Macaca fascicularis: one gene and its partners. The protein of the gene in region 1 interacts with the protein of each later gene in a biochemical or structural test. Links are inferred from orthologs where the notes say so. Each region holds a gene or a part of one and is shown in the gene's direction. Other genes may lie near its edges. The genes, in order: SRC, KIT, STAT3, LDB3, TAMALIN, ENO1 and MUC1.

What was found.
Region 2: the proteins of SRC (region 1) and KIT form a complex in vitro, tested with the Homo sapiens proteins (3 studies listed by BioGRID and IntAct, with this or other methods). The link is inferred for Macaca fascicularis from reciprocal best matches to the Homo sapiens genes SRC and KIT.
Region 3: the proteins of SRC (region 1) and STAT3 form a complex in vitro, tested with the Homo sapiens proteins (3 studies listed by BioGRID). The link is inferred for Macaca fascicularis from reciprocal best matches to the Homo sapiens genes SRC and STAT3.
Region 4: the proteins of SRC (region 1) and LDB3 interact in a test that uses a peptide from one of them, tested with the Homo sapiens proteins (2 studies listed by IntAct, with this or other methods). The link is inferred for Macaca fascicularis from reciprocal best matches to the Homo sapiens genes SRC and LDB3.
Region 5: of the proteins of SRC (region 1) and TAMALIN, one has a biochemical effect on the other in vitro, tested with the Homo sapiens proteins (2 studies listed by BioGRID and IntAct, with this or other methods). The link is inferred for Macaca fascicularis from reciprocal best matches to the Homo sapiens genes SRC and TAMALIN.
Region 6: of the proteins of SRC (region 1) and ENO1, one has a biochemical effect on the other in vitro, tested with the Homo sapiens proteins (4 studies listed by BioGRID). The link is inferred for Macaca fascicularis from reciprocal best matches to the Homo sapiens genes SRC and ENO1.
Region 7: the proteins of SRC (region 1) and MUC1 form a complex in vitro, tested with the Homo sapiens proteins (2 studies listed by BioGRID, with this or other methods). The link is inferred for Macaca fascicularis from reciprocal best matches to the Homo sapiens genes SRC and MUC1.

The regions. Positions count from the first base shown.
Region 1 is NC_088384.1:93,453,257-93,457,530, forward strand, and holds the start of SRC (proto-oncogene tyrosine-protein kinase Src), read left to right. Parts: upstream 1-1,474; 5' UTR 1,475-1,657; intron 1,658-2,930; exon of another isoform or gene 2,931-3,046; intron 3,047-3,903; exon of another isoform or gene 3,904-4,022; intron 4,023-4,274. UniProt on the Homo sapiens protein: Non-receptor protein tyrosine kinase which is activated following engagement of many different classes of cellular receptors including immune response receptors, integrins and other adhesion receptors, receptor protein tyrosine kinases, G protein-coupled receptors as well as cytokine receptors.
Region 2 is NC_088379.1:79,167,226-79,170,725, reverse strand, and holds part of KIT (mast/stem cell growth factor receptor Kit), read left to right. Parts: intron 1-139; coding exon 140-244; intron 245-327; coding exon 328-438; intron 439-1,651; coding exon 1,652-1,802; intron 1,803-3,500. UniProt on the Homo sapiens protein: Tyrosine-protein kinase that acts as a cell-surface receptor for the cytokine KITLG/SCF and plays an essential role in the regulation of cell survival and proliferation, hematopoiesis, stem cell maintenance, gametogenesis, mast cell development, migration and function, and in melanogenesis.
Region 3 is NC_088390.1:63,447,410-63,451,456, reverse strand, and holds the start of STAT3 (signal transducer and activator of transcription 3), read left to right. Parts: upstream 1-1,247; 5' UTR 1,248-1,254; coding exon 1,255-1,556; intron 1,557-4,047. UniProt on the Homo sapiens protein: Signal transducer and transcription activator that mediates cellular responses to interleukins, KITLG/SCF, LEP and other growth factors. Once activated, recruits coactivators, such as NCOA1 or MED1, to the promoter region of the target gene.
Region 4 is NC_088383.1:59,967,723-59,971,985, reverse strand, and holds the start of LDB3 (LIM domain-binding protein 3), read left to right. Parts: upstream 1-1,463; 5' UTR 1,464-1,523; intron 1,524-1,633; 5' UTR 1,634-1,656; coding exon 1,657-1,749; intron 1,750-4,263. UniProt on the Homo sapiens protein: May function as an adapter in striated muscle to couple protein kinase C-mediated signaling via its LIM domains to the cytoskeleton.
Region 5 is NC_088385.1:58,841,959-58,846,191, forward strand, and holds the start of TAMALIN (protein TAMALIN), read left to right. Parts: upstream 1-1,433; 5' UTR 1,434-1,487; coding exon 1,488-1,733; intron 1,734-2,188; exon of another isoform or gene 2,189-2,328; intron 2,329-3,658; coding exon 3,659-3,708; intron 3,709-4,233. UniProt on the Homo sapiens protein: Plays a role in intracellular trafficking and contributes to the macromolecular organization of group 1 metabotropic glutamate receptors (mGluRs) at synapses.
Region 6 is NC_088375.1:225,992,734-225,996,233, forward strand, and holds part of ENO1 (alpha-enolase), read left to right. Parts: intron 1-247; coding exon 248-317; intron 318-1,198; coding exon 1,199-1,332; intron 1,333-1,942; coding exon 1,943-2,165; intron 2,166-2,932; coding exon 2,933-3,130; intron 3,131-3,500. UniProt on the Homo sapiens protein: Glycolytic enzyme the catalyzes the conversion of 2-phosphoglycerate to phosphoenolpyruvate. In addition to glycolysis, involved in various processes such as growth control, hypoxia tolerance and allergic responses.
Region 7 is NC_088375.1:105,950,493-105,954,618, forward strand, and holds the start of MUC1 (mucin-1), read left to right. Parts: upstream 1-1,326; 5' UTR 1,327-1,388; coding exon 1,389-1,446; intron 1,447-1,919; coding exon 1,920-3,361; intron 3,362-3,460; coding exon 3,461-3,516; intron 3,517-3,664; coding exon 3,665-3,801; intron 3,802-3,946; coding exon 3,947-4,068; intron 4,069-4,126. UniProt on the Homo sapiens protein: The alpha subunit has cell adhesive properties. Can act both as an adhesion and an anti-adhesion protein. May provide a protective layer on epithelial cells against bacterial and enzyme attack.

The DNA.
Region 1 (4,274 bases):
ACTATACGACCAGCACTCACCATCTCAGCAATATTGATGTCAGTAGCATCTATCATCTGCTGGGTGCTTTTGGGTTGGGAAGTGGTTCCTGTTGGTGTTCTAAGACTGGTCTGGGGCCATGTATACAGTTGGTAGTCAATAAATGCTTGCTGTCCATTAATGATGATTTGCAGGAATTAAGCAGTGAGTTGCTGCTTTACCAACAAAGAATGTTTTAAGCAAAATAATTTGCACAAAGAGTCACTTGTCCACCAGGCCAGACCCGCAACTCCCAACTGCATAATCCTGGAGCTTGCCAGGGTTGTTACCCTCGTTTTACTGATGAGTACACTGAGGCCCAGAGAAGGCAGGTTCACATAGTCACTGAAGGGAAGAGCTGGAACTTGAACTCTTGTCTGTAGGTCCTAAGTCAGTGTGTGCTGCCTGGCCAACTGGGCAGTGCCTGCTCTGTGCTGGGCATGGGCCAGGCCTTGGTCACTGCCTTCAGGGTGGGGACAGACACACTCAGAATGGACTTGGCACGTGCCTCCATCAGGGTGTGTCAGGAAGCATGTTGTGGAGAAGGTGGCATTTACTCTGGACTTTGAAGAACAAGGCGAGGTAGCCAGGGACAGGGGCTGAGCATTCCTGGCAGGGGTTACAGCCTGAGCAAAAACCCAGAGGGGTGGTTAAAAATAAAGAGCGCTTCAAACGCTCAATAATGAAACCATTGTGCTGGCCACATCCTCCTGAGAACCTCAGCCACTGAGCCAGGCCCTTGAAGCCCGCGGTAGCTTCAGGTGCGAAGCTGCATCTGCCTGCAGAACCCTTACTTGTCTGAGTTGCCTCCTCTCTGATAAGAGCGTGTAGGGTATGAATGAGAATGAGATTTCACATGTGCTGAGCGGGCATCACCTCATTTCATCCTTACGTGCGTCTTCTGGGGGCTGTGATATCTTTAGCCCACTGTTCAGGTTGGCATACTGAGGCTTCTTACATTATCTGCAAAGTGGCAGAGTTGAGACTTGAACCTGGGTCTGGTCCAAAATCTGTACTTTTAAGCTCTCTGTCATCCCAGTTCTCGAAAAGCCCAGAATTTTCTGTTGAACTCCTGGGGATGAATTTAGTGATGTGCTGGTACATATTGAACAACCAGCTCTGTGGAAGAAAAAAGAGGCTTCATTGGTAGCGTATTCTGATGTCCAAGGGGTAAATACTCCCACTGTGGCTGACATGGAGCTAACCAGTGTGACATTCTTGAATATGGACTTGGGAAGAGATGAGCACAGTCGGTTCTTGCAAGTAGGCAAGGGCCAGCTCCAGCGTGTCACTGGGTGACTATACCTGCCTCCCCCCGAGCCCCGTACGGCCAGTAAAGGCCTTTAGACATGTCTAAGGAATGGAAGAGGGCTGAGAAACCTGCTTCTCCAGCCGGGGGCCCGCCTAGCCCTGAGAAGCTGCGGTTAATCTTTAAGCCAGCCTTGCAAACAAGGGCAGCCATTTCGCCTGGCTTCTGCTGTTGACTGGCTGTGGCACCTCAAGCAGCCCCTTTCCCCTTTGGCCTCAGTTTATCACCGGAAGAGCTACTATTCATCTAGCACAACCCGACCATCCTCACACTGGTCAGTTTCAGCCTTCCCAGGAATCTTCTCTGGCCACGTTCACTCCGGTTTTACAGGTGAGGGGGCTGGGCTGGGAAGCTGATGGACTTGTCCACCCCACAACAGAGGGGCAGCTAGCCTAGATGCGAACCTAGATCAGTGTAGAGTAAGGCTTTGCTCATTCCTGGTCTCCTGGAAGGTATTTTGTACCCAGAGGTCTTTGCCTTCCACATTCTAGGGTGCTCCTCCCGGCTCCTCTCAGTGGGGACCTTTGCCCAGGGAATAGAAGCTTGGCAAAGGCTTCTATTTGTCTTTGACCTGGCTGGGCCTTAATTTCCCATCTGTGAAATGGGAGAACTTTCAAAGAAGGAACATGGAGGCAGGTGTGATATTTAAAGCAGGACCCAGGTCCACCTTTCCCTGTGCTAGGATTCCAGGACAGGTGAGGAGCCAAGGGTGGGGTGCCCAGCCCCAAAAGGATAGCCCTGGAGCCTGTGCCAGGGGGTGATGGGGAGTCTTTGTGGCCTAAAGCAGCGTTTCCTCAATGTCCCGTTTTTCTGCTACACTTCCTGCCCTGGTTCAGAGATACTTAGCCTCTTTACTTACTTGGAAGTGTGAGTGCCACTCCGATGCCCTGGCCAACCCCTCCTAAGCAGTAATAACTGGAACTAGGGTACTTCCAATGGGCTGCCAGGGATGTTTTTTCCTTACGCACTTTTTAAAATGAACCCACAACTATTAAAATAAAGGTCGCTCCTCCCCACCCTGTCCCTCCTGCCCCAGCCCCCACTTTGAGAAACTCAGGTCAAGGTTAAAGTCCAGGGCCTGGTTCTTGTCAGTGCCTCAGTTTCCCCATCTGTAAAGTGGGGCGATCTTCCGCCACTCAGGCCAGGTGGTGGTTAGGATTAAACCCTGAAGTCGACCTGAGCACCTTAGCCTGGCGCCTGGCCCAGAGCGGGCGCTCCACGCCCGCTGATATTATTACTAATTGTGATTTCGGGAGAGGCAGATTTGGGGCGTAGAGGGTGGGTGGGTCGAGGAGGGCATTTTGGCCTGGGGGCGGATGGGGCCCGCGGGGTGGGACGCCCTGGCGGAGTGGGAGGCGGGGCCTCTGTGCCCGGTGTCCCCACCCCGCCCGGACCCCGGCCGTGCCTGGGTCTCTCCCGGGTCACCGGCGGGGAATCCGTCCCCGCGCGCTTCCTCCTTCCTCCTCCTCCCGGCTGCCTGCCGGGCCCCTCCTCCCAGCTCGCGCGCTCCCTCCCTCCTCTTCCCCTCCCCGGGCCGCCGCCGCCTCCTCCTCCTCCTCCTCCTCCCTTTCTCTCTCGATCTGTCTCTCCCAGCCCGGAATCCATTCCGGCCTGGGAGCCGGAGCGGCCAGGCCGCCGTCTGCCCTACCCGCCGGCCGTCCCGCGGTCCGCCCTTCCGTGCGTCCGTCTGCCGGTGCGCCCGCCCGCCCGCCGGCCCAGGTGAGCGCCCCCCGCCCCTCCGCGGGCCCCCAGTCCCGGCCAGCGCGGGGGAGCCCCCGCCCTGGACCACCTGGGTCGGATCGCGGGCCCGCGGGGGCTCCTGTCCACCCCCCAATTCCCACCCCCCGGGCCGAGCTGCGATACCCGAGCGCCGGGCGGGCGCACAGGGCCATGCCCAGCGCGGCCTTTTGTTGTGATGCCGCGGGGGGAGGGGACTGGGCGGGGGGACGCAGGGGTCCTGGCTGCGTGGGGACCCCCTCCAGCTAGTGCTCCCCATAGGATCCCCCAGAGAAGCGGGTGAGCTGGGCCCTAGCCCCCGGGCCAGGTCTAGGCCAAATCTGAAATCTGAGCCAGTCGGCGCCGCCTCTGGCTGGGCTGCCCGGTCCTGCGCCCCCCGGCCCAGGGTGGGAGGTGGAGGGGCTCGGCAGGGCAGGCTGAGGGGCCCCGGAGTCAGGGCGCCAGGCCGAACCACCAGGACCTCCCTGCCCTCTTGGGGCCTCGGGTAGGGCCTGGTGCTGCCGGCCTGGAAGGGACTGGGCCAGACTGCGTTTAGTCTCCACTGCCCACAGCCCCCAGCCTCGCCCCAGAGCAGGCCCAGCCACCAGCCGGCTCAGAAGTTGGCAAAAGTTTTGGGTGTTGGCCACCGGGCCAGGTCCACCTGTCTGCCTGGGCTGGGATTGGGGGTGGGTTTGAGTCCTGCACCAGGGCTGCCACTTGCCCTGCTGTGTGTCCTCAGACAACTGCCTGCCTCTCTGAACTGGGGTCCTCATTGGTGGCAGGTGGGCCTGGCTGGAATTGCTGGGCTGGTGGAAGGATGGGGTGAACAGAAGGGGCTCACCTTTGTGGTATCCTTTCAGCACCTGTGTCCTTCAGGTGGACTTAGGAGTGGACAGAGCCTGTGTGTGCCCCTGGGCAAGGCCTCCTGAACTTCATGGACTCTGTACAATTTGGGGCAGTGGTTGCTGGGTCACCTGGGGTAAGTCCAGGCCCAGCCACAGCCACAGTGCAGCTGGGATCAGACTTGGTTTCTAGGGTGGGCCAGGCTGGTCCTTTTGCAGACCCTCTTCTCAGCCCCCTGGCTGGGGAGTCAAGGCACTGAGGCTTCTTGTCTTGCCCAGTGACCTGGGCCAAGAGACTGCCCCACTAAGTCCCCATACGTGAAATGAGAATCCTCAGGTGAAGATTCTAAGCGCTTCTGCAGGTAGAGGCTTGGCATGTAGTAGATGCT
Region 2 (3,500 bases), on another chromosome or scaffold:
GGCATAGAGAACATTGTAGGAAAATGTCTCTAGACAAAATTGTTTTTAATTCCTTTATTGATTTTGGAACTACATAAATGATCCTTCAATTCCACCACCAGCACCACCACCACTTACCTTGTTGTCTTCCTTCCTACAGGGAAAACCCTGGGTGCTGGCGCTTTTGGGAAGGTTGTTGAGGCAACTGCTTATGGCTTAATTAAGTCGGACGCGGCCATGACTGTCGCTGTAAAGATGCTCAAACGTAAGTTCCTGTATGGTACTGTGTGCGCTTGACATCAGTTTGCCAATTGTGCTTTTTGCTAAAATGCATGTTTCCTATTTTAGCAAGTGCCCATTTAACAGAACGAGAAGCCCTCATGTCTGAACTCAAAGTCCTGAGTTACCTTGGTAATCATATGAATATTGTGAATCTTCTTGGAGCCTGCACCATTGGAGGTAAAGCCATGTCCAAACTGCCTTTTATTGTCTGTCAAGTTATCAGAACATGACATTTTAATATGATTTTGGCAATGCTAGGTTATAAAGTGCTTGGAAGATTTTTTACCCAGACTATTGTTCTCTCTTGCTAGATTTTGTTTTCCTTATTGTTCTTAAGAATGCAGGTTTTAATTTTATCATTATGGGGTAGAACAGCCCAGGACATATACTAGTTATTGTCGTGTTTGTAACATCAACAACATTGGCCTCTTGTATATCTTATCCCGACCAGAAGGCTTCTCTTATCTTGTAAGCTTTATATATTTCTTGATCATATTTAGCCACTGAAAGGGTTAATATTAATTTGCATACTATAATTTAAAATAGGCCCCTAAGCCTACTGGTTCTCAAATATACACCAAATGAGGCAAACATTTCACTTCTGTAAAAAATAAGTTTCCAATTCGAAGCCTTAGTTGAGGTTCCCATCGAGGATGTCTGTGATGTTCGCAGAAAGTATTTCAGTTGAAAGAAACAAAGATGTGTAAAATGAGCTGTTTCTAGAGATCCATGGTAAAGTTGACAGCTTTATATAATGTCTTCAAACAACCCCCATAAATGTTGCTTCACCACATCATGAATTGTTCATGAGAAAATTTCTTTCCTAAGTTAATTAGTTGCCTGTTACTTCCAAATTACAGTTTTAAACATTCATAACACCAAAATTTTTTTCAACTAGTAGTGCTCAGAACACAGGTCATTTTAGGTTTTCACTCACTTTCCAGTCTCGTCCCAGCTGGCTGCTCCATGTGACTGATTTTCCCACTATGCCGCAGTTTGTGCCTTCGTTATTTCCATAATAACGTTACAGCGAGTGTGTGAAGCCCTGCTGTAAACAGAAGTGAATCAAAGGATTCACGTAGGAAGCTTGATAATAGTAGAACCTTTGAAAGCAGTAACTTCTGTCTGTCAAATCAGCAATCACGCTTGGCCCCAAATACTAATGTCATTTGGAAATTCAGGTTAAAAGAGACTTGCTTGTTTTATGTTACTCCACATAATGCTGCTTTTTTGATAAGCAGTGTTAATATATAGGATTGTATTGGGACTAAGTAGGCTTATCCACTGAAGCTGAATATTAATGGCCATGACTACTCTTGGGTATTTTTATGGGAGGCAGAATTAATCTATATATCTCACCTCTTTCTAACCTTTTCTTATGTGCTTTTAGGGCCCACCCTGGTCATTACAGAATATTGTTGCTATGGTGATCTTTTGAATTTTTTGAGAAGAAAACGTGATTCTTTTATTTGTTCAAAGCAGGAAGATCATGCAGAATCTGCACTTTATAAGAATCTTCTGCATTCAAAGGAGTCTTCCTGGTAAGACTGATTTACATAAATAGTTAGCTGTTGACAGGCAGTTCATGGGGTCATAAGGGTTTGCAATCAAGGCTGATTCTTTAAAAAATGAACTGAGGTACTCTGAGGTATGAAATCAAAATTATTAAATCATTTAAATGTGATTAACAGTTTAGAAAGTTCAAATTGTGTTTTTAAAGATTCAAACTGTGTTAAACCTAGATTTTTGCTGATTTTTAAAAAATGCATTTTTAGTTTTTTTCTACACTTTAGTTTCACGCAACTGAATGAATTCTATTTCTGTTTCTCTTACGGTTCTGTCCTGCATGTATTTCCATTTATACCGTTGAGCTTGGTACTGTATGCATGTTTCCAGTGAGATACTGTTTATAGGGGAAATGCTAAAGCCTCTCAAGTTGCCACAATAAAGTCCCTTTAAAACCTTTAGCAGAATGACAAAGAGCTCTGAACTTATCTCTACATGTAGGCTTTTTGCTATTGACCTCTGGATTATTCCTATATACCTTGCCTCTTGCCCCTTTTAATTCATCATGCTATTAAAAGTCGTAACTATTCCAGCACGTTTTTAAAAATTCTGGACATTATTTTCATCTCTTTCGTCATTGATGCCATTCTGAATTTGAATCATGTATAAAGAGCTTCGAGTTTGATTTACAACCAGAGAAGAATTCTTCTCATACCTTGCCTATTCTTTCTTTGGAAATGCTGTTAAGAGCCACCATTTGAGAAGACTTCCTGGATGTACCCAGTCCAACAGAAGTCATGGTTATTTCACCCAGTCCCCTATACTGTATATTGCTGCAGTTGTGTGGTAGATTTTTCCTAACCTTTTTATGCACTTTATATCCACTGCATCTTGCGATGACAAGACATTGCCTCCTGAACTCTTAACACCAGGCCCTCAAGGAGACCTCAGTAAATGTTATTGATGGGCAATTACCTCTTAAAGCCATTTTCTGTACCTCTGACTGAAGTTTAAAACCACAGGTGAAACTTTTATGTTTTTTTAATCCTATAAACTTGAGTAATGTAAAGTGGTAGTAGAAACTGTACAAAACCACTTTTTGTTAGTTTCTCCTGGGCATGTGCTCATTATATGAAGAAACCCAATGAGCCATTTTGCTTCTTTCCGAAACCTTGGCCCTATATATATCCTTTAACTTTCTGATATAATGGCCTAAATTGTTCAATCCTGTGTGATGTTCTTTGTGCTTTGGGATCCCATATGGGATTGGAACCACCAGCACACTCTGAAGGAGATTGTTGTCATGGTGTTTCTATGCTAATCAGAAGCAGGAAGTACTAGAAATCTTGAAGAGTCTCCAGCCAAATGTTGCAGACTGAAGAGGTCCAGATGGTTCAGAAAATCATCCAAATTATTGGTGTTTATCTGAACCAACTTGATTTTTTTTTAAAACCTTTTTCCATCAGTCACTATATGTTAACGATCTCTGCCTCCCCCATAACACATCTTGGAAGCTCTTCTTTGTCTTTCTTTCATCTTGTCTCCTGGGGCTCATTTAGAGAGTCTGAGGTGATACAGGATAGCATATTTGGCTCTCTGTCTCCCATTAAATTCATTGTGTCAAGAGATGGGAAATTTCTAACCTGAGTCCTCTATATGATTAAACACAAAAAGGACACCTAGTTTCTGGGCATGGACCCCAATATCAAATATTAAAAAGTCATATCTTACAG
Region 3 (4,047 bases), on another chromosome or scaffold:
CTTGTGCTGTTTCTGGGGCTAGAATCTAGTCTCCTTCAAACACTCAGAAGGATCTGTGACTCCCTTCAAAGGTTAAGAGTCATTGATTTTTCTCACTACAAATTAATAAGAATAGCTATCCCTGGGGAGAAGGAATGATGGGGGTAGGGAAAGATTTTCATTTAAAATTTTTTACCTTTCTGAACGGTCTGCATTTTCTAAACAGGAACATGTATTAGTTTCATTGAAAAAAAAAATGTCAGGGGTTATCTGAGCAGTGAGATAATGGGTCCTTTATAGATTTTTGTCTTTATACCGGTTCGTATTAAACAAACACAAATATTAATAACATATTTTTAAAGACCCTAAAAAAATAAAAATTAAAAACCCTGATAGTATCAGCACATACACAGAAATCACTCCATTATGCAAAGTTCATCCTCTATTATGAAAGGCAAAATGTCTACATTTCCTATGAACCACTGGCTTCAATTCAGCAAAACTTGCATACCAAGTAGGCAAGGTGGAAACGAAAAAGGCGGAACATTTCATGTATTTCAATTCAGACGCATAAAAATGTCAAGCCCTACACGTATCAACTTTCGTATACACCGTCTTCTGCATTCGCCTGTACCGGCCAATGGGCTAGCTGGTCGGAGTTTGATGCTTGAAGTGATGGAACGGAGGACGGGGTTAAATCTACTATTTCTCCCCACGCACTCTAGTATTTACTCTATTTCCACGTCATGTTTCCGGGTGTGTGTGTCCCTGCTCACGCAGAAACTGAAGTTCAAAGCAGGCGGAGTCACTCATGTTCTTTTTGTTGTCCCCAGAACCCAATTCAGGTGTTGGGTCCCCAGAGGATCTGGAGATACCTGGGGACTGTCTAACTGGCTGATTCCCACGTGGTAAGAGGCTCTCAATCTCGCCACCACGTGGTGCCAAGGGCCGGGAAAAGGGAGAGCGGACAGGAGGGAGCTGTATCAGGGGCATTTAAAGTGCCTTGACGTCACGCACTGCCAGGAACTCAGCTGAGTTTTCAGCAGGACATTCCGGTCATCTTCCCTCCCTCCCCCCGGGCTTCTGTGCCCAAGTCCTCGGCTCTTCCCTCGCTGTGGCGGAGGGAGGAGCACCGAACTGTCGGAACAGCCAGCACAGGGCCGTATCAGTCTTCTCTTGGCTCCGCCCTTTCTCCTAGCTGCTCTCTTCATTGGTCAGTGGGCGGGGCTTTGTCGGTACCGCACACGCACTGGGACCTCTGGGTGGCCGAGCGAAATGGCCGTTCATGAATTATGCATGACGGCGTGCCTCGGCCAGGCTGGGGCTGGGCGGGGATTGGCTGAAGGGGCTGTAATTCAGCGGTTTCCGGAGCTGCGGCGGCGTAGACCGGGAGGGGGAGCCGGGGGTTCCGACGTAGCAGCCGAGGGAACAAGCCCCAACCGGATCCTGGACAGGCACCCCGGCTCGGCGCTGTCTCTCCCCCTCGGCTCGGATAAGCCCTCCGGCCTGAGGGAGCCCCGTCGCCCGCCCCCGGCGCACGCGCAGCCCCGGCCTCTCGGCCTCTGCTGGAGAAACAGGTGAAGGGGGTGCAGGGTGGGGCCGTCGGGGAGGCCTGGGGACCTGGGGGCGCCGCCGCGGTTGGGGGCCTCTGGGACCTTGGGGATTTTGTGATGGACGCTGCAGTGGGGCGGGGAGAGATGAGGAGACGCGGAGGGTCGCCCTGAGGGAAGACTCTTCGGGATGACAGGAGCGGGCCTCGGAAGGGACTCGGGGCGCTGGAGGGAAGTTTCGTTCTTCGGAGAAACAGTGAGAACGCGCCCGAGGGGGCACCGTGGGGCGAGGGCGCACTCGGCTGCGGCGGCAGGAGTGAGGGACAGTCCCCCGATTTCCTGCTCCCTGGAGCCCTGGGGACGTTCCGGCCGCCGGAGCGACTGTCACGCCGGCGGGGATCACCGGCGCGGGTGGGGGTCGGAAAGCGCCTCCTCCCCGCCTGGCCGGCGGCTCCCTCTGAGCCACTTCCTCCGCTTGCCCTGTTCCCGCTCCTTCAGGAGCCAGCTGTGCCCTTCTGGAGGCAGGAATAGGTGTGTCTGTCCCCTGCAGCCTCACGGGCTGGCTGGTCGCGGGTAGGCTTTATTGCATAAGAATCAAGTTTCCTGTAGGGAAATTGACAGACCGGTACTCTTTCTAAATTCCCTTCCATCTTTTTCTAGGTTAAACTATGCTCCCCTCACGCCCCCGCCATGTAAAAAAGAGGGGAAAAAAAGACAAAATCCCCGTCAACCCGTCAAGCCAGCTCTAGAGAGATAAATAAATCTCTTGGCAATGTTCTTTTCCAAATACCTGGTAAAGTCGGCCAGAAGATAAATAATTGAGCCATTGCGTTTACTGGATTGTGGTGTTGCTTAATTGCATAGGACGGAATGAACCAATCGAGAGTGGGAGTTCTGTGTCTCAGAGCCAAGATCTTGGGTAAATGCAGAGGAGAGGGAAACAAAGACAGGCTGGCCTTGACAAAACCATGTGTGCTAAGTTTACCTGCATTTAGGGGGGTGTGGTTGCACTGAAGTTAACAAGATTCAAACCGTCGCCCAAGTTGGTATTTCCATGTTTGATACACATCACCCTGTGCCATATCAGGTCGTTGTAAGTGTGGTGACAAAATCAGTGGTTAGTCATTGTTTTTTGTTAAAAATGTGTATAGTGTGTACCTGCTGGTCTTACTGTATGTGCAACTAAAGGTTTACGTAGTCTGTGCATGGGTTGTAAATTTTTGGCTGGCTGTGCTGATAAAGCATTGGGCTTGAATAAAGCAAAGCAGAAAATCATCTCAATCTTTTATATGTGGATTTAGACTGTGCTATGACTTGATTCAGCCAGTTTTCTATTTTATTTTATATTAAATATGTCTGTGTTCTCTGAGTCAGCACATTTATTTCCTTATTACATGTTCCAGACGGGAGTGCTAGCCCAGTTTTTGTTCAGTTTGCACAGTGGGATGGGGAAACAAGTCTGGAATTAAAAAAAAAAAATGTTTTAGAGGTTGGAGCCTTGATTTTAGTCTCTGTATTAGCACATCCATCACAAAGAACCATTAGTAAATTCATGAATCTTTTGTTTTTTATGTAGTTCATTTGGGAAGAATAATCACTTAAAAATATCCACAGTGCCAGGCATGGTGGTGCACACCTCTGATCCCAGTTACTTGAAAGCTGAGGCCGGAGGATTCCTTGAGTCCAGGAGTTGAGTCTGGTCTGGGCAACATGGTGAGAGGCCAGGAATTGGGTCTAGAGTCTAGTCTAGGCAACATAATGAGAACCCGTCTCTAAGAAAGAAAGGAAAGGAAAGGAGGAAGAAAGGAAAGAAAAAGAAATACCCACAGCACAGTTATGAATTGACCCACAAAGGACTTGTGAGGTAGGTAGTTCACATAACAATTACTCTAATATTGTAGATAAGAAAATTGAGGCCAAAGGATCAAGACACTTGCCCAAGGCGGCAGAGTGCCATAGTGGTGGAATTTGTGCCGCCTTCTGTATATTTTGTGAAAAGTATCAGTGAAATTCTTTTTTTTTTTTTTTTTTTGAGACGGAGTCTTGCTCTGTTGCCTAGGCTGGAGTGCAGTGGCGCAATCTTGGCTCACTGTAACCTCTGCCTCCTGGGTTCAAGTGATTCTCCTGCCTCAGCCTCCCAAGTAGCTGGGACTACAGTTGCGCACCACCACGCCCGGCTAATTTTTGTATTTTTAGTAGAGACCAGGGTTTTACCATATTGGCTAGGCTGGTCTTGAACTCCTGACCTCGTGAGCCGCCCACCTCCGTCTCCCGAAGTGCTAGGATTACAGGTGTGAGCCACCGCACCCAGTATCAGTGAAATTCTAACATATATCTGAACAGTAAAATACCACCAACAGGCTGAAAGACTTTATGGGAGGTAAATATTCAATAAACACGTGAAAAAAGAAATACAAATGGAGCTTGCTTAGATTATTTTTCTACCTAATTGCTATGTCTAACTTGGGAAGTGAGGAACTGTTTTTGGTCAGCATAATTTACCATCAGAATTCAGCTA
Region 4 (4,263 bases), on another chromosome or scaffold:
CTGGCCATGGACTGCTGGCCTCCTGGGCTGGGCTGCGTGATATAGGATGAAGGAGGTGATTAAGCGGGGGAAAGGACAGTCTTCCCGGCTTCTTCCGCTTGATAGTTTTGTGACTTTGGGCAAGAACAAAACAACCCCGTAATATGGGTGATCGTACCTTGCACCTTGCATGTGCCAGGCCCCAGGAGTGAGGCTGGAAGCTGAGAAATGACTCATACCTAGGCCTCTACTGACTCCTCAGGGTCCAAGCCAGAGCTCTCCAAGAGGGCCAGCAAGCAGCCAACCCAGTTGCCTCCCCTGAGCCTCAGTTTCTCCAACCAAGGAGCCAGAGTGGGCCTTGATCTATCTCCAGACCACATAGGGGCCTGAGGTCTTTCTTGGGGAAGGGGTTGGCCCAAAGACCACACTGGCAGAAGTCCCAAGATGCTTGGGCCCCCCACCCAGAACACACTGTCTCTGGGGTACAGGCTGAACATGCCACACGTGCTTCCCCCTCCGTGCCCCTCCTGGCCCTGTGTCTAGCAGCTGAGCAAATGGCGTCTCCTCCCTTCTCCCTGCCCCCTGCCATTCCTGCGCAAAGGGCACGGGGCCTGGCGTGTGGCACTGGCAGCTGGAGCTTTCCATGCTGCCGTCAAGTTTTCCAGAGCACAAATAAGACAGGAGAGCCAGGAATAACTGGCTGGGCCCCCAGAGGGTCTGGAGGGGATGGGCCTACCTCAGACCTGCTTTCAGACCCTGTGCCAAGGGGTGCAGGCAGAGGGCCAGCTGCCCAGGACCAGGGCTTTGGGAGGCTTCTGTGGCCATTGGGAGCCCATTATCTGGCATGCATCCTGTAAGAATCAGCCCGGGCTCCAGTGTGGCCCGGGTCCACTCCTTGTGTGACCTTGGAGAAGTCATTTAACCTCCCTGAGCTTTGTCTCCTGTGGGTCCAGGTGGCAACTTCTCAGGATCCCAGGGAGTGAAGGGCGCATGCTGAGGCTGGCTATGCCCGGAGCTGCTGCTATTATGATCATTTTTATGGCTGGACAACCCTGGGCCAGTCACAGACCAGCTGCAGGCTCAGTTCAGGCCAAGCCACCTCCAGGACCCCACACTGGATAAAGCACAACCCCAGAATCCTGGGCAGGGACCACATGGCTGCAAAGCCCCTGCCCAAGGGAGCTCAACCCCTGGTCTTCTGAGCAAGAGGATGGGTACCACGGAGCAGGAAGAGCGAGTGTCTCCGCTCTCCAGAGGACACAGGAGCAAGGAGACCACAGCATTCTCACCAACCTGGCTAGTCCCCCTTCCTCCCCCTGGGGGGTGCTGGGTGCCGGACACCCCTCCCCAGGGGCTATATTAGCCGTGTGAGTCACGGTGGACCGGCTGGGAGGCCGCAGGCGGGCGGGACAGTGTAGGGTTACAGTCCATTTATGGGCGCAGCCGAGGGCAGATATCAGTGTCGATGGCATTCGCTCCCAGCTATTCTTAGGAGCCTCTCAAGAGCTCCACGCAGCCCAGCTGGGCAGCAAGGGACAGAGCAGGCAAGGCCGGGGGGCAGGGGCAGGGGCAGGGGCAGGGGCAGAGGTGTGGACCGGGCAGGCGGAGTGCCTGAGTGCCCTCTCACTCAACCCTCTCTACCCTTTGTCTGCAGAGGCGGCCGCTGACAGCACCAGCATGTCTTACAGTGTGACCCTGACTGGGCCTGGGCCCTGGGGCTTCCGTCTGCAGGGGGGCAAGGACTTCAACATGCCCCTCACTATTTCCCGGGTGAGTGCACCCTGCCACAGCCTGGCACCCGACGGGGCGGGCACGCTGTGTGTCTGTCTGTCTGTCCTTTCTGAGCCTCTCAGAAAGCAGAGCATGCCCCATCCCCTGGGACTGGCCTGGTCCTCTGGTCTCAGCCACAGCTATTTGCTCACAGGAGCCCGCCGGCCCGTTATGCATGTGAGACACCATGAGCAGGTGGTAGGTGTTTTTAGCAGAGAAGAAAATGCTGAGTTTTCAGGCAGGCAGGCAGGTAGCTGGACCGAGTACAGCGCCTTCCTGATCCCTTCACTGTTAGAGTGGGCTTAGGGTGCCCCCAAGCCTTTAGCATTTCCCTAGATGTGGGCAGCTGCTTTGGGAAGGGAGCATTCCCAGCATGGAGAGGGCAGGTGATGGGCAGTTGGATAGATGGACAAACAGGCTGCTGACCTTGGCTGTCCTGCTGTCAGAGCGTGGGGCTGGGCTGGACTGAGTACTGGGCACCCGCTCCATCCCAAACTTGAGACACCAGCACCCTGGCTCATGGGGCTGGGCGGTCCTCCCCATTCACCGTGGCTGCTTTGTCTGTCTCACGACTTGTTCCCCGCAAGCGCTGGGGCCTGGTGAGATGGCCCCCTGTCCTGCAGTGTCTGTGATGGGGAGCAGCATGGCCTAATGCAGATGACACAGAACATCGGGTTGTCTGAGTAACTCTACTGCCTGGCTGGAGACAGCAACACCAGAGAGGCAGAAAGCTAGCCATGCTCCCAAGGAAGCACTCCAGGAACAGGGACTGACGGGGGAACAGCATCTAGACCGTAGTAGGCGCTCCGTCAGTATTTGTCAAACAAAGAGACTCCCCGGCAAGGCACTGGTAGACCCAGGGCTGAAGACCCCAAGGCTCAGGATGAACTGTGAGGCATACAGGGCAAGGACAACCCTGCCTGGTGGCTGAGCCCCTGGCCGTGCTGTTCTGGTCACAAGGCAGGAGCGGGAGGCTCCCAGGCTGTCACCAGAGGGTAGTGGGTGGGCAGGGGTATCTGGGCTACTGCCCCACTAGGGGAACAAGGGGACAGTTTCTTCTCTGGGGCCTTTGAGACTTGCCTTGGGCCTGGGGGCTGGAGGAAGGGGTTGGAGGGGAAGCACTGAAGTGGGCAAGGCCTGAAGGTGCTTGGCAGAGGGACCAGGGAGCCTGGGCAGAGGGTCAGGAGCCAACGCCACCACTGGAGAAGTAGTCTCTGTTTTTGGTTCCATGGGTACTTGGGGGAACCCCAGAAGTAGAAGCCCCACCCAGGGATGCTGTGAGAGCCTTATAATAGCCATAGAGGCCACATGCTTCCAGGGTGGGTGCTGGCCTGGCTCTGGCACAGGGAACAGGCCCTGCCCTCCATCCTTCAGTTGGAGATGTGGCTTGTTCTAACCTGGAGACTCCACCCCTCCAGATCTACTGCCCTGGAGACCACAGGGTCCTGGAAACCCACAGCTTTGCACACTTTGCATGAGGTGGCGACCTGCGGGCATGTGAGCCCCAGTGGATTTCCCACTGCCCTGTACAGCTCCCCACCCCCATGCTTGCAGGACTCCTTCCTGTACAAGGTGGAGCCTCTGTGTGCTCTCTCATGGGCCCTGTGGCCTCCCCTGCCTGAGACTGAGCCCACATCTCCCCCAGCTCCACCATCTCCAGGCCTCCTGCTGGTGCTCCCTGCCCTATCCCTATGGGTGCAAATTGGCCACTGGGCTCACTGGCACTCAGGATAGCCAATGACTTCACCCAGGGTCTATGTGCCACCTGGCCCCAGCCAGCCAGGGGCTTAAATGGCAGCCCAGAGGCCTTAAGCTAGATAACAGGAGGAATGTCCTTACTCCGGGGAGGGGGTATGCAGGGATGTGCTGGATCCAATGACTGGGGGGACTTTTAAAAATAGAACCCGAAGCCCAGGCAGGGCACTGGGGGATGGGCACGATGGCCTCTCGGCTTCCTTTAGGGGCATACCCCAAATCACCTGAGCTATGGAGCAGGCTGGACTGGGAACTGGAGCCCTTCCCGGGGCTTGGAACCTCTTGAGAAATTTTGGTGGTGGGCTGCTGATAGCCTGGGCTTGTGTCCTGGTTCCGTGCCGCTGGCAGGGCAGGCCTTGTGGACACAGCCCTGCCATCCCACCAGGGCTGTAGGATTTACTGCTGGGGCTCGCAGGGCCCTTCTGCACCAGGGACATCCCCCTACGGGGGAGGCATGGCCAGAGCTCTCTGGAGGAACTCCACTCCCACCCCAGCCAGGACCTGAGCCTGTGCCATAGGGCACCATAGGCAAGAGTGTGTGACCCTGTGGGGTGGGCAGGCAAGCGAGGCTCGGATTGTTACCTCACTTCAGAGCCTGGCAAACTGAGGCTGGCGTTTGCTCACAGGACAGGGATGGCCATGGGTGGATCTCCTGTGTCCTCTCACCCCAACTCCCATGCTGGCCTGCTCACCCCTCTGACTGGGACTACTAGAGAGGCACTGGGGAGACCTGTCCCCTCTCAGCTGCAGGTATGTGCT
Region 5 (4,233 bases), on another chromosome or scaffold:
AGGGCCCAGCCAGTACCTGGCACAGAGCAGGGCTTAAATGTTGGATAACAGCACAGAGTGGTTAGATTGCAGGCTCTGCAACCAGGCTGTCTGGCTTTGAATCTCAGCTCTGCCGCTGAGTGACTTAGGGCAAGTTACTTATCTTCTCCGGGCCTCAGTTTCCTCATCTGTAAGGGAGGATAATGGTGCTTATTTCGTAGGGTTGTTATGAAGACCAAGTGAGTTAATGCATGTATGTAAAAGGACACACAGAACAAACAGTGTGCATTGCACATGGTAAGTGCTCAATAAATGTTAACTGTGAAGGCATAACAGATTTGGGAAGACTGGGGGAGGAGGGGACAGACAGGGGCACCGCATTGCCGCCTCTGCTTCTTGGTCGATGGGTGCTGGGACATGGAGTCCCCAGCTTGTGCTGCTGACGCCCTGTGGTGGCTAGCCGCTCTTTAGACACCAGACGCTGCCTTCCACTTCCTCCTCTCACTTCTTATTCGGGCACCACTGACGACAGAGACTTCGGCTGGGCCATTCCCGCCTCTCCTACCGCCTGGCAGCCATGGTAACAGCCTGGGGGATGGTCCCTACGATGGGGTCAGAGAACGGCTGAGCATGGCCATCCCCCCCGCAGCCCTGAACTCCGATTCGGCCTGGGCTCATCCCAACCTCCTGAGTCAAGTCCATAGTAAGCGTCTGTCTGCTGGGAAGGGGGATCTGGGCCTGGCATCAGGAGCTGAGGAAAGGTGTGTTCAGCAGGGATCACTCAAGCCCCTCGGAGGGGATAGGCCAGAATTAAGCCTACTGCTTTCAGGGTTTCCATCTCTTCCCTTTCTCCTAGACGTGGGAACAGGGGGCAGCCTCTTTCAGCTCTTCTGGGGCAGCTGTGTCAAGGGAAAATCCTGGGCCCTCTCACTCCCTGGGGGCTTCTGTGCAGAGTTCAGGGAGTCTCCTCCCTCCTCTGTCCGGCCTCCACCCCTACTGCTGCGCAGCCCCGCTGCCTCTCTCCCTGCCCTAGAGTCTCCTGCAGCCCCCTGGATCTCCTTGACTCTCCCCACCTCCCTGACTCCCCAGGCTTCCTACAGTGACCTCTTACCGTGCCCCGCTCCATGAATCGCCAGAGCTATCCTTACCTAAATGTCAAACCTTGCTCAACGTCCCTTCACAGACCCCTCCAGGTATCACGCAGCCCCGAGCCCCGCCCTGGGGGCCTCATCCCGCCCCCTCGCGTCCGCTGCTCGGTTTCCCCCACCGAGCGCCCAGCTCCCGCAGTTTCCCGGGCCGTCGAGCGCCGTGGGCGGGGCTCCAGGGCGGCTGCGCCCCGTGGGGAGGGTCCTGCGTGCTGGGGGCGAGGCCACCCGAGGCCGCTCCCCGCCCGCCCCCAACCCCGCCCCCCTCTCAGAGCCTATAAAGGGAGGTGACGGAAGGCTCGCCCGGCTGGCATCCCCGAGCGGAGCCACCGCCGTCTCCACCCGGCGCCCGGCGCCGAAGCCATGACCCTCCGCCGACTCAGGAAGCTGCAGCAGAAGGAGGAGGCGGCGGCCACCCCGGACCCCGCCGCCCGGGCTCCCGACTCGGAAGTCGCGCCCGCAGCTCCGGCCCCGACCCCGGGACCCCCTGCAGCAGCCGCCACCCCTGGGCCCCCAGCGGACGAGCTGTACGCGGCGCTGGAGGACTATCACCCTGCCGAGCTGTACCGCGCGCTCGCCGTGTCCGGGGGCACCCTGCCTCGCCGAAAGGTGCGTCCCCCGCCCGCCTTCAGGACCTGCTTAGCCCCACTCCGTCCCCCTACAGGGCCTGCTGACCCCGCAGTGCCCTCTCCTCGGCGTCCGCGGAGTCCCCCACCCACCTTCTTCCCCGCTGGGTGCCTCGACTCCCCCGCGTTCCCCGCTGCTCCGAAGACTGTGGCCCTCGCCTGCACACCGTGCCCAGGCTCGGTGGCTCTCAACTCCTCGCCCTATACGCGCCGCCCCATCGCGCCCCCTCTCTCCCTCCTTGACTCCTCCCGGCACCCCCCTTATCCTACTCGCTCCATCTGGCTTTCTGCTCCCCATGCCCCGCCTCCTCGTGGCCAGGTGTCCTGAATCCCCAGGATCCCCTCGCCCCAGGGGCAGAGACGGCCCTAGACAAGTTGAAGGTCTGAGAGCCCCCGGTGGGAGAGGTGGGCCGGTGGCCGTGCCGCGTGCGTTCTCACCCTGAGGAAGTGCGTGGGGCGCCGCTGACTCCGGAGAGCACACCCTTCCGAGGGGACTCCCCGATTCCTGGGCTCGGGGCCTGCCGCCTGGCCCCACGTCTGATGTTCGGGGCGCGAGGGCCACAGCTCCCTGGACTTCTGCCGGAACCGGACGTAGTGGGAGGGGTCGCAGGGAGCCCACGGGGCAGGAAGGATGCGGGCCGCGCCTACCTCGGAGTCTCCCCTCCGCCAGCCTCTTCCTCTGGCCCCAGGGGACCTGAGGCTCAGAACCTACACACCACCAGGTTAAGGAGAGGGGCCTGGTGGCCTTTCCTCACCCAGCCACCCTCCTTTGCCCCTGGCCCCCAGCTAGCCCCCACACAATGAACAGCTTGTTGAGAATTTGCATTTTATGAAAATCATGTTGAAAGACAAAGGGGTCTCTCTGTGCTGCCCAGTCCTTCCTCCCTGGCCATTTGGGAACTGTCCCCACCCCTGAGGCCAATCTGGTTCTGACCCTTCCCTTCCTTGCCTTGGGCAGCTTGGGGGGAGGGTTAGCAAAGGCACAGACCAGAAAGGCCCTGGGCTGTGCAGGCTCCAAAGGAAAGGGCTGCTCTGGGACTGGACCTCCTCCAAGGACCAAAAAGTTAGGGAGGGTAAGAGACTAGTTTATCAAGGACCCTGAAGAGACAGGAACCTTCATCTCTCATCCTTCCCCCACCCCCCTGCCCCAAAAGAACTCCCGATCTCGCTCCTTTAGTGAGACTTACTGACAAGTTTGACATCTAAGATGTTTTGTCCCAGAAAGCACAAAATGTATGACAATGGAGAGAGACCCAGGTGTAGCTGGGCACAGCTGGTCACCTGCAGCTGGGATCCACAACTGGTCCCTGAAACGGGCTGTACCTTAGGAGACCTGGCACCTATGTCCCCACATTCTGGCTGGGATTGCCAGCCCTTCAGGCCGGGGTCCCTGACCCTAGCCCTCCCAAGCCACTGTCTGTAGCTGAGAAATTAGATGGAGAGACCCAACTGGCAGAAGGTCCTCGGAGCACCTTGATAGGTGAGCCCAGGGGACACCTATCCTCTGAATCCCACTGGGGAAGAGCCCCTGCCTCAGCTTTGGGAGTCTGGATGGCCTGAGCCTCTACAGACATGGGCCCTCGGGATGGAGACCATTCTAGAATAATGATCTCCCCACCCACTGCCAGTGTGGAAACCAACAAGGGCTTAGAGGTTCATGGATCTGGAACCCAGGAGGATGGTTGTGTCCCTGCAATCTCAGGTATGAAGGTAAGGCCGTAGAGAAAGTTGGGGAGTGGTGCCAGTAGTGACACTTGGCAAATAGTTGTACCAGCACCAAAGCAGGTGTGGATGTGGAGTTGCAAGAGGCAAACAGGAAGTGGGTCGCTGTGTCCAGGGTAGCACTCTCAGCATCTGCTCAAGGACAGTCCTGCCTCACCTGCTCCTTCTGACCATCTTCCTGCCCAGGGCTCAGGATTCCGCTGGAAGAATCTCAGCCAGAGTCCTGAACAGCAGCGGTGAGTCACCAGCACCCAGCCCCTGCCATGGTCCAAAGGGGTGAGGTGCTGGGTTGGGCGGTGCCAGGACAGCATCTCAGCCTAGCAAGGGTAGTCATTCTCCTAGCCTTTAAGCATGGCTCCCCCGCTGAGAGTGAGGGGCAGGTGGGGGTGTGGGCTGTGTGAAGGGGGTGGCAGAGAAAGGAGGTAGGGACTTTTGAGTCATTAGGTGCTCTTCAACCCACCCCCAGTCCCTGCCAGTTACCCCTCCCTGGGGAGATCTGGATGAACGGATGTGGGAGGTGGGAGGGGGTGTAGGCAAAGCCTATGGGGAATGTCCTAACCCAGGCCTCCTGGGCTCCCCTGAGCCCTCCCAACCTTGGCAAACCCCATGGGCCCAGACCTTAGCCAGGCTGTGTCCAGCTGCTTGGGGCTGGCTACCCCTGCCTCCAGAATGTCAGTCCTCTTCTGGTCCCAGCCTGTGGCAGCCCTCTAAGGAGGGATCTGAGTGTGGGCAGAAGTTTCCCTTCTCTACTCAGTTTCCCT
Region 6 (3,500 bases), on another chromosome or scaffold:
AAGCATTGTGTCTGAGAGCGTCCATCTCTGTTTCATTGTTGGGTGAATGAAACACCATCAAAGCAAGCAGAAGGCAGTTTTTTGTCTCACCATTGATTTTTGTCCTCCACTTTTTTTGCTTATAAAACAAACATCACAGAATTGATTTTTATTTTACATAGTTCCAAAGTCAGATTCCATGGTAGGGGAGCAAAGGCTGTGCAGATAAGAGTGACACCAACCCCTCATTCTCTCCTCTCCCTCTTAGAAACTGAACGTCACAGAACAAGAGAAGATTGACAAACTGATGATCGAGATGGACGGAACAGAAAATAAATGTGAGTGGCCCGAGGAGGCATCTTTACTGGGGAAGATCATGAAGTCTCCTAAAGACTTTAACAACTTTCAGGAAGAGGTCCATGATCTTAGTGACAAGCTAAATGAGCCTGTCGTCTCCTCCCATTTCTTTGCGTCACTCTTAAGAAATCACACTTTTGGCCAGGCGTGGTGGCTCACGCCTGTAATCCCAGCACTTAGAGAGGCCGAGATGGGCGGATCACGAGGTCAGGAGATCGAGACCATCCTGGCTAACATGATGAAACCCCGACTCTACTAAAAAATACAAAAAAACTAGCCGGGCGAGGTGACGGGCGCCTGTAGTCCTGGCTACTCAGGAGGCTGAGGCAAGAGAATGGCGTAAACCCGGGAGACAGAGTTTGCAGTGAGCTGAGATCTAGCCACTGCACTCCAGCCTGGGCGACAGAGCGAGACTCCGTCTCAAAAAAAAAAAAAAAAATTTATACAGGCCTTGTGGCCTTGTGGCGGGCGCCTGTAGTCCCAGCTACTCGGGAGGCTGAGGCAGGAGAAGGGCATGAATGGGGGAGACGAGATCACGCAACTGCACTCCAGCCTGGGCAACAGAGCAAGACTCCATCTCAAACCAAAAAAAGAGAAATCACACTTTGGAGTATCAGGAGCAAAACCAGGTGATAATAGCCTGTCAGTTCGGTTACTCGGAACAGCTTTGCTCCTTATAATGAATTCAGCAGTTCCTATAGTTGGCCAGAGCTGGGCTCTCTCTTAGAGGGGAAAAGCAGTGGTGAGTCCACAGGGAATGCTATTTGCATTTCTAGTAACAGTGTGATGGGGGAGGAGATGGCAGGAGAAAAGCCGGTGAGTCAGAAATGACTTCATTCCACTCGGTTCTCTTCTGTTCTAGCTAAGTTTGGTGCGAACGCCATTCTGGGGGTGTCCCTCGCCGTCTGCAAAGCTGGTGCTGTTGAGAAGGGGGTCCCCCTGTACCGCCACATCGCTGACTTGGCTGGCAACTCTGAAGTCATCCTGCCAGTCCCGGTGAGTGGTTTATTGGAACTTCCCAAGCAAGGAGTTGGGGGTTTCAGCTTGCTCTTGGGGACCAAGACCTCCTGTGCCTTGATCTCTTAACACATGTGACTCTCCCAGCACAGCTCTGCCCCTTGTTAAGTGTGACCTTGAGCAGGTAATTCAACTTGCCTGTGCCCCAGGTCCTTCATTTGCAGTGGAGGCTCGGGTAGGAAATGACAGCAGTACTTTCCTTGCTAGGCTGTGAGCATTAGCTGACATAGTCACTAGCGTTTCTCCTGATGATCATGAATTTGCAGTTATCAAAATAGACCTGGTATGAACTGGTTGCAGTAGTGCACACCTGTAGTCCCAGCTAATCAAGAGGCTGAGGCAGGAGGATCACTTGAGCCCAAGAGTTTGAGACCAGCCTGGGCAAGACCAGTATAGTCAGATCCTGTCTCTAAAAACATGAGTCAGAGACCTGGTGAGCATTTCATGGCCACCCTGACCCCACTGATGCTCCTCAAGGAGCAAGTCTTGGGCTCATCTGTGAACTAGATGGGGATGGTAGGACCAGAGGGGCCTGTTGCCCTGTGGGGCTCTCTGGGCCCGGTGCCATGCTTCTCTGTTCTCTCCCCAGGCTTTCAATGTCATCAATGGCGGTTCTCATGCCGGCAACAAGCTGGCCATGCAGGAGTTCATGATCCTCCCAGTCGGTGCAGCAAACTTCAGGGAAGCCATGCGCATTGGAGCGGAGGTTTACCACAACCTGAAGAATGTCATCAAGGAGAAATACGGGAAAGATGCCACCAATGTGGGGGATGAAGGCGGGTTTGCTCCCAATATCCTGGAGAATAAAGAAGGTAAAGGCGCTGGGGAATCCCCACCCACCCACCCAGCCCTGCAGCACCAACTCCCTCTGTGCAGGGGTTGTCCACACCTGCCTCTGTGGAAAAGGTTTTCATTCCACCTGTAGTTTGTAAAGATCAAGACCCTTCAAACAGGGTTTTAAGGAGGGAAAGGGGAGCTTCATTTGATTTTACTTATTTTTTTCTTTCTTTGAGACGGAGTCTCTGTCGCCTGGGCTGGAGTGCAGTGGCGCAATTTCTGCCTCCTGGGCTCAAGCAATACCTAATAGCTTGGGGAGCCAGGTGTCTGTCCATCTGTCCTGCTGGCAGGACAGCTTAGCCATGGATGGCAGACCCTGAGCCTGAACTCTCAACAGCACAGCCTGGCAGGAGGATCCTGCCACCCAGGGCTGCCTCCACTGGGCTTTCTCTTGGATCCCGCTTCAGCTCTATTTAAGGCCTGTGTCTTGAGACAGCTGATCTCAGCTGGTTACTGTAACTGTATCTTGGCCAGGACAGCTGTTCCTGGGCACTAAATTTGGGAGCATTTGTCAGGGAGAAAGGCTACTTTCTTGGAAGCTGTGCTGAATTTCCCATTTAGTCTACACCAGGAGCTCTGGCCCATGGTTTCTTGCCCCAAAGCAGAAAAAAAGTAACTGACGTTGTTGAAACTACTGGTTGGGGCCTGAACACCTCTTGACCTTTGTGTTACAGTCCATGTGTAACAGCTGTTGAAGGGAACCTACCTGTTTTCCAAACCTGTTGCCACCATCTCTTCCCAGGCCTGGAGCTGCTGAAGACTGCCATTGGGAAAGCTGGCTACACTGATAAGGTGGTCATTGGCATGGACGTAGCAGCCTCCGAGTTCTTCAGGTCTGGGAAGTATGACCTGGACTTCAAGTCTCCCGATGACCCCAGCAGGTACATCTCACCTGATCAGCTGGCTGACCTGTACAAGTCCTTCATCAAGGACTACCCAGGTGAGTGTTCCTGGAGTGCCATCTTCCTTTCCTGCCACCGACCTGTAGCATGGCAGCTGGAGCATCTGGCTGGCTGGGGATGGGGAGGGTGTGTCTGAACCTCTGGCTCCCGTGGGGGATTCATCAGGGGGCTTCCCCCCAGTTGTACGTACACAGGGCTTCACAGAGGTTCTTGTGTAGCTAAGGAGCTCAGGTGCCAGCAGCGGTCTGTGCTCCATTAGACAGGCGAGGGAACCAAGCCTTCAGAATTAGAATAGCCACTTGTTAGAGATGTATTATGCTTCCTGTGAGCTGGGAATATTCATTTTAGGCTCTGTGTGTACACAGGATAGGGACTGTGACTTCTACAGGAGAGGAAACTGATGGGCTG
Region 7 (4,126 bases), on another chromosome or scaffold:
TTCTCCTGCCTCAGCCTCCTGAGTAGCTGGGATTACAGGGCCCGCCACCACGCTCAGCTAATTTTTGTATTTTTTAGTAGAGACGGGGTTTCACCAACTTGGCCAGGCTGGTCTTAGAACTCCTGACCTCGTGATCCACCCGCCTCGCCCTTTCAAAGTGCTGGGATTACGGGCGTGAGCCACCGCGCCCGGCCCGATCTGCCTCTTAAGTACATAACGGCCCACACAGAACGTGTCCAACTCCTCTGCCCACGTTCCAATGTCCTCTCCCACATATCTCAGTGCCCTTTCCACATACCTCAGGACCCCACCCGCTTAGCTCCATTTCCTCCAGACGCCACCACCACGCGTCCAGGAGTGCCCCCTCCTAAAGCTCCCAGAAGTCCACCATGCTGTGCGTTCCTCCCTCCCTGGCCACGGTAGTGACCCTTCTCTCCCGGGCCCTACCTCCCTCTCGCGGGCTCTCGCTGCCCCACTTAGGCAGCGCTGCCCTTACTCCTCTCCGCCAGGTCAGAAAAGCTCCTCAGCCGGCGCGGTCCAGCCCCGCAAGGCTCCTGGTGACCACTAGAGGGCGGGAGGAGCTCCTGGCCAGTGGTGGACAGTGGCAAGAAAGGACCCTAGGGTTCATCGGAGCCCAGGTTTCCTCCCTTAAGTGGAAATTTCTTCCCCCACTCCCTTCTCAGGAGAATGCCAAGGAGGGAACCCAGGCTGCTGGAAAGTCCGGCTGGGGCGGGGACTGTGGGTTTCAGGGTAGAACTGCGTTTGGAACGGGACAGGGAGCGGTTAGAAGGGTGGGGCTATTCCGGGAAGTGGTGGGGGGAGGGAGCCCAAAACTAGCACCTAGTCCACTCATTATCCAGCCTTCTTATTTCTTGGCCCCGCTCTGCTTCAATGGACCCAAGGAGGGCAGGGAAGTGGAGTGGGAGACCTAGGGGTGGGCTTCCTGGCCTTGCTGTACAGAACCTCAACCTAGCCGTCTTTGTTCCCCATTCCCACCTTAGTTGTTGCCCTGGGGCTAAAACTAGAGCCCAGGGGCCCCAGGTTCCAGACTGCCCCTCCCCACTCCACCCTGGAGCCAGGGAGTGGTTGGTGAAAGGGGGAGGCCAGCTGGAGAACAAATGGGTAGTCAGGGGGTTGAGCGATTAGAGCCCTTGTAGCCTACACAGGAATGGTAGGGGAGGAGGAGGAACAGGTAGAAGGTAGGGAAGGGGGAGGGGGCGGGGTTTTGTCACCTGTCACCTGCTCCAGCTGTGCCTAGGGCGGGCGGGCAGGGGGGAGGGGGGCCAGGGGGACTGGTATAAAGCAGCAGGCGCCTGTGCCCGCTCCACCTCTCAAGCAGCGCCTGCCTGAGTCTGTTCTGCCCTCTCCCCACCCAGTCCACCACCACCATGACACCAGGCACCCAGTCTCCTTTCTTCCTGCTCCTGATCCTCACAGTGCTTACAGGTGAGGGGCACAAGGTGGGGAGTGGGCTGCCCTGCTTAGGTGGTCTTCGTGGTCTTTCTGTGGGTTTTGCTCCCTGGCAGATGCACCATGAAAGGCAAGAATTCTGTCTGTGCCAGAAGGAGGGAGAGGCTAAGGGCAGGCTGAGAAGAGATGCTCCCCCCAAAGAGTGGGTGCCAGGGGCAAGCAAATGTCCTGAAGAGAAGTCTAGGGGGAAGGGAGTAGGGAGAGGGAAGGCTTAAGAGGGGAGAAATGCAGGGGCCAGGAGCTGAGGCCTGTGGGCAGACAGAAGGAGGCTGCTGCAGGGAAGGAGGCAGCCAACCCAGGGGCTGCTGAGGCTGCCCACTCCCCAGTCCTCCTGGTATTATTTCTCTGGTGGCCAGAGCTTGTATTTTCTTCTTGCTCTTATTTTTCCTTCAACCCAACCCTATTAGTTTAACTTATCACAGCTGCCACAGCCCCTGAACCCACAACAGTTGTTACAGGTTCTGGTCATACAAACTCTACCCCAGGCGGAGAAAAGGAGACTTCGGCTACCCAAAGAAGTTCAATGCCCATCTCTACTAAGAATGCTGTGAGTATGAGCAGCAGACTCTCCAGCCACAGCCCCGTTTCAGGCTCCTCCACCACTCAGGGACAGGACGTCACCCTAGCCCTGGCCATGGAACCAGCCACAGGTTCGGCTACCACCTTGGGACACAATGTCACCTCGGCCCCGGACACCAGTGCAGCCCCGGGCTCCACCGGCCCCCCAGCCCGCGTAGTCACCTCGGCCCCGGACACCAGTGCAGCCCCGGGCTCCACCGGCCCCCCAGCCCGCGTAGTCACCTCGGCCCCGGACACCAGTGCAGCCCCGGGCTCCACCGGCCCCCCAGCCCGCGTAGTCACCTCGGCCCCGGACACCAGTGCAGCCCCGGGCTCCACCGGCCCCCCAGCCCGCGTAGTCACCTCGGCCCCGGACACCAGTGCAGCCCCGGGCTCCACCGGCCCCCCAGCCCGCGTTGTCACCTCGGCCCCGGACACCAGTGCAGCCCCGGGCTCCACCGGCCCCCCAGCCCGCGTTGTCACCTCGGCCCCGGACACCAGTGCAGCCCCGGGCTCCACCGGCCCCCCAGCCCGCGTTGTCACCTCGGCCCCGGACACCAGTGCAGCCCCGGGCTCCACCGGCCCCCCAGCCCGCGTTGTCACCTCGGCCCCGGACACCAGTGCAGCCCCGGGCTCCACCGGCCCCCCAGCCCGCGTTGTCACCTCGGCCCCGGACACCAGTGCAGCCCCGGGCTCCACCGGCCCCCCAGCCCGCGTTGTCACCTCGGCCCCGGACACCAGTGCAGCCCCGGGCTCCACCGGCCCCCCAGCCCGCGTAGTCACCTCGGCCCCGGACACCAGTGCAGCCCCGGGCTCCACCGGCCCCCCAGCCCGCGTAGTCACCTCGGCCCCGGACACCAGTGCAGCCCCGGGCTCCACCGGCCCCCCAGCCCGCGTTGTCACCTCGGCCCCGGGCACTAGTGCAGCCCCGGGATCCACCGCACCCCCGGGCTCCACCGCACCCCCAGCCCACGATGTCACCTCGGCCTCAGACTCTGCATCAGGCTCAGCTTCCACTCTGGTACACAGCACCACCTCTGCCAGGGCTACCACCACCCCAGCCAGCAAGAGCACTCCATTCTCAATTCCCAGCCACCACTCTGATACTCCTACCACCCTTGCCAGCCACAGCACCAAGACTGATGCCAGTAGCACTCACCATAGCACAGTACCTCCTTTCACCTCCTCCAATCACAGCACTTCTCCCCAGTTGTCTCTTGGGGTCTCTTTCTTTTTCTTGTCTTTTCACATTTCAAACCTTCAGTTTAATTCCTCTCTGGAAGATCCCAGCACCAACTACTACCAACAGCTGCAGAGAGACATTTCTGAATTGGTGAGCATCAGCCTTTCCTTTCCCATGTTCCCCTGAAGCAGCCATCAGAACTGTCCACACCCTTTGCATCAAGCCTGAGTCCTTTCCCTCTCACCCCAGTTTTTGCAGATTTATAAACAAGGGGATTTTCTGGGCCTCTCCAATATTATGTTCAGGTATAGTTCTGGGTGTGGACTCAGTGTGGTGGTTGGAGGGTGGGTGTTGGTCATGACCTTAAGGAGGGACTGGTGCACTCAAGGTTGGGGGAGAGTCCTGAGCCAGAGCTGGGACCTGTGGCTGAAGTGCCCATTTCCCTGTGACCAGGCCAGGATCTGTGGTGGTACAATCGACTCTGGTCTTCCGAGAAGGTACCACCAATGTCCACGATGTGGAGACACAGTTCAATCAACGTAAAACGGAAGCAGCCTCTCGATATAACCTGACGATCTCAGACATCAGCGGTGAGGCTACTTCCCTGGCTGCAGCCCAGCACCATGCTGGGGCCCCTCTCCTTCCAGTGTCTAGTTCCCCACTTTTTCCTTAGTGCTGGCAGTTAGAGGGGCACCTCCTCTGGGAGACTGCCCTAACCACTGCTTTTCCTTTTAGTGCGTGATGTGCCATTTCCTTTCTCTGCCCAAACCGGGGCTGGGGTGCCAGGCTGGGGCATTGCGCTCCTGGTGCTGGTCTGTGTTCTGGTTGTGCTGGCCATCGTCTATTTCATTGCCTTGGTGAGTGCAGTCCCTGGCCCTGATCAGTGCCCACCCCCCCGCCGACAGAAAGCACTCC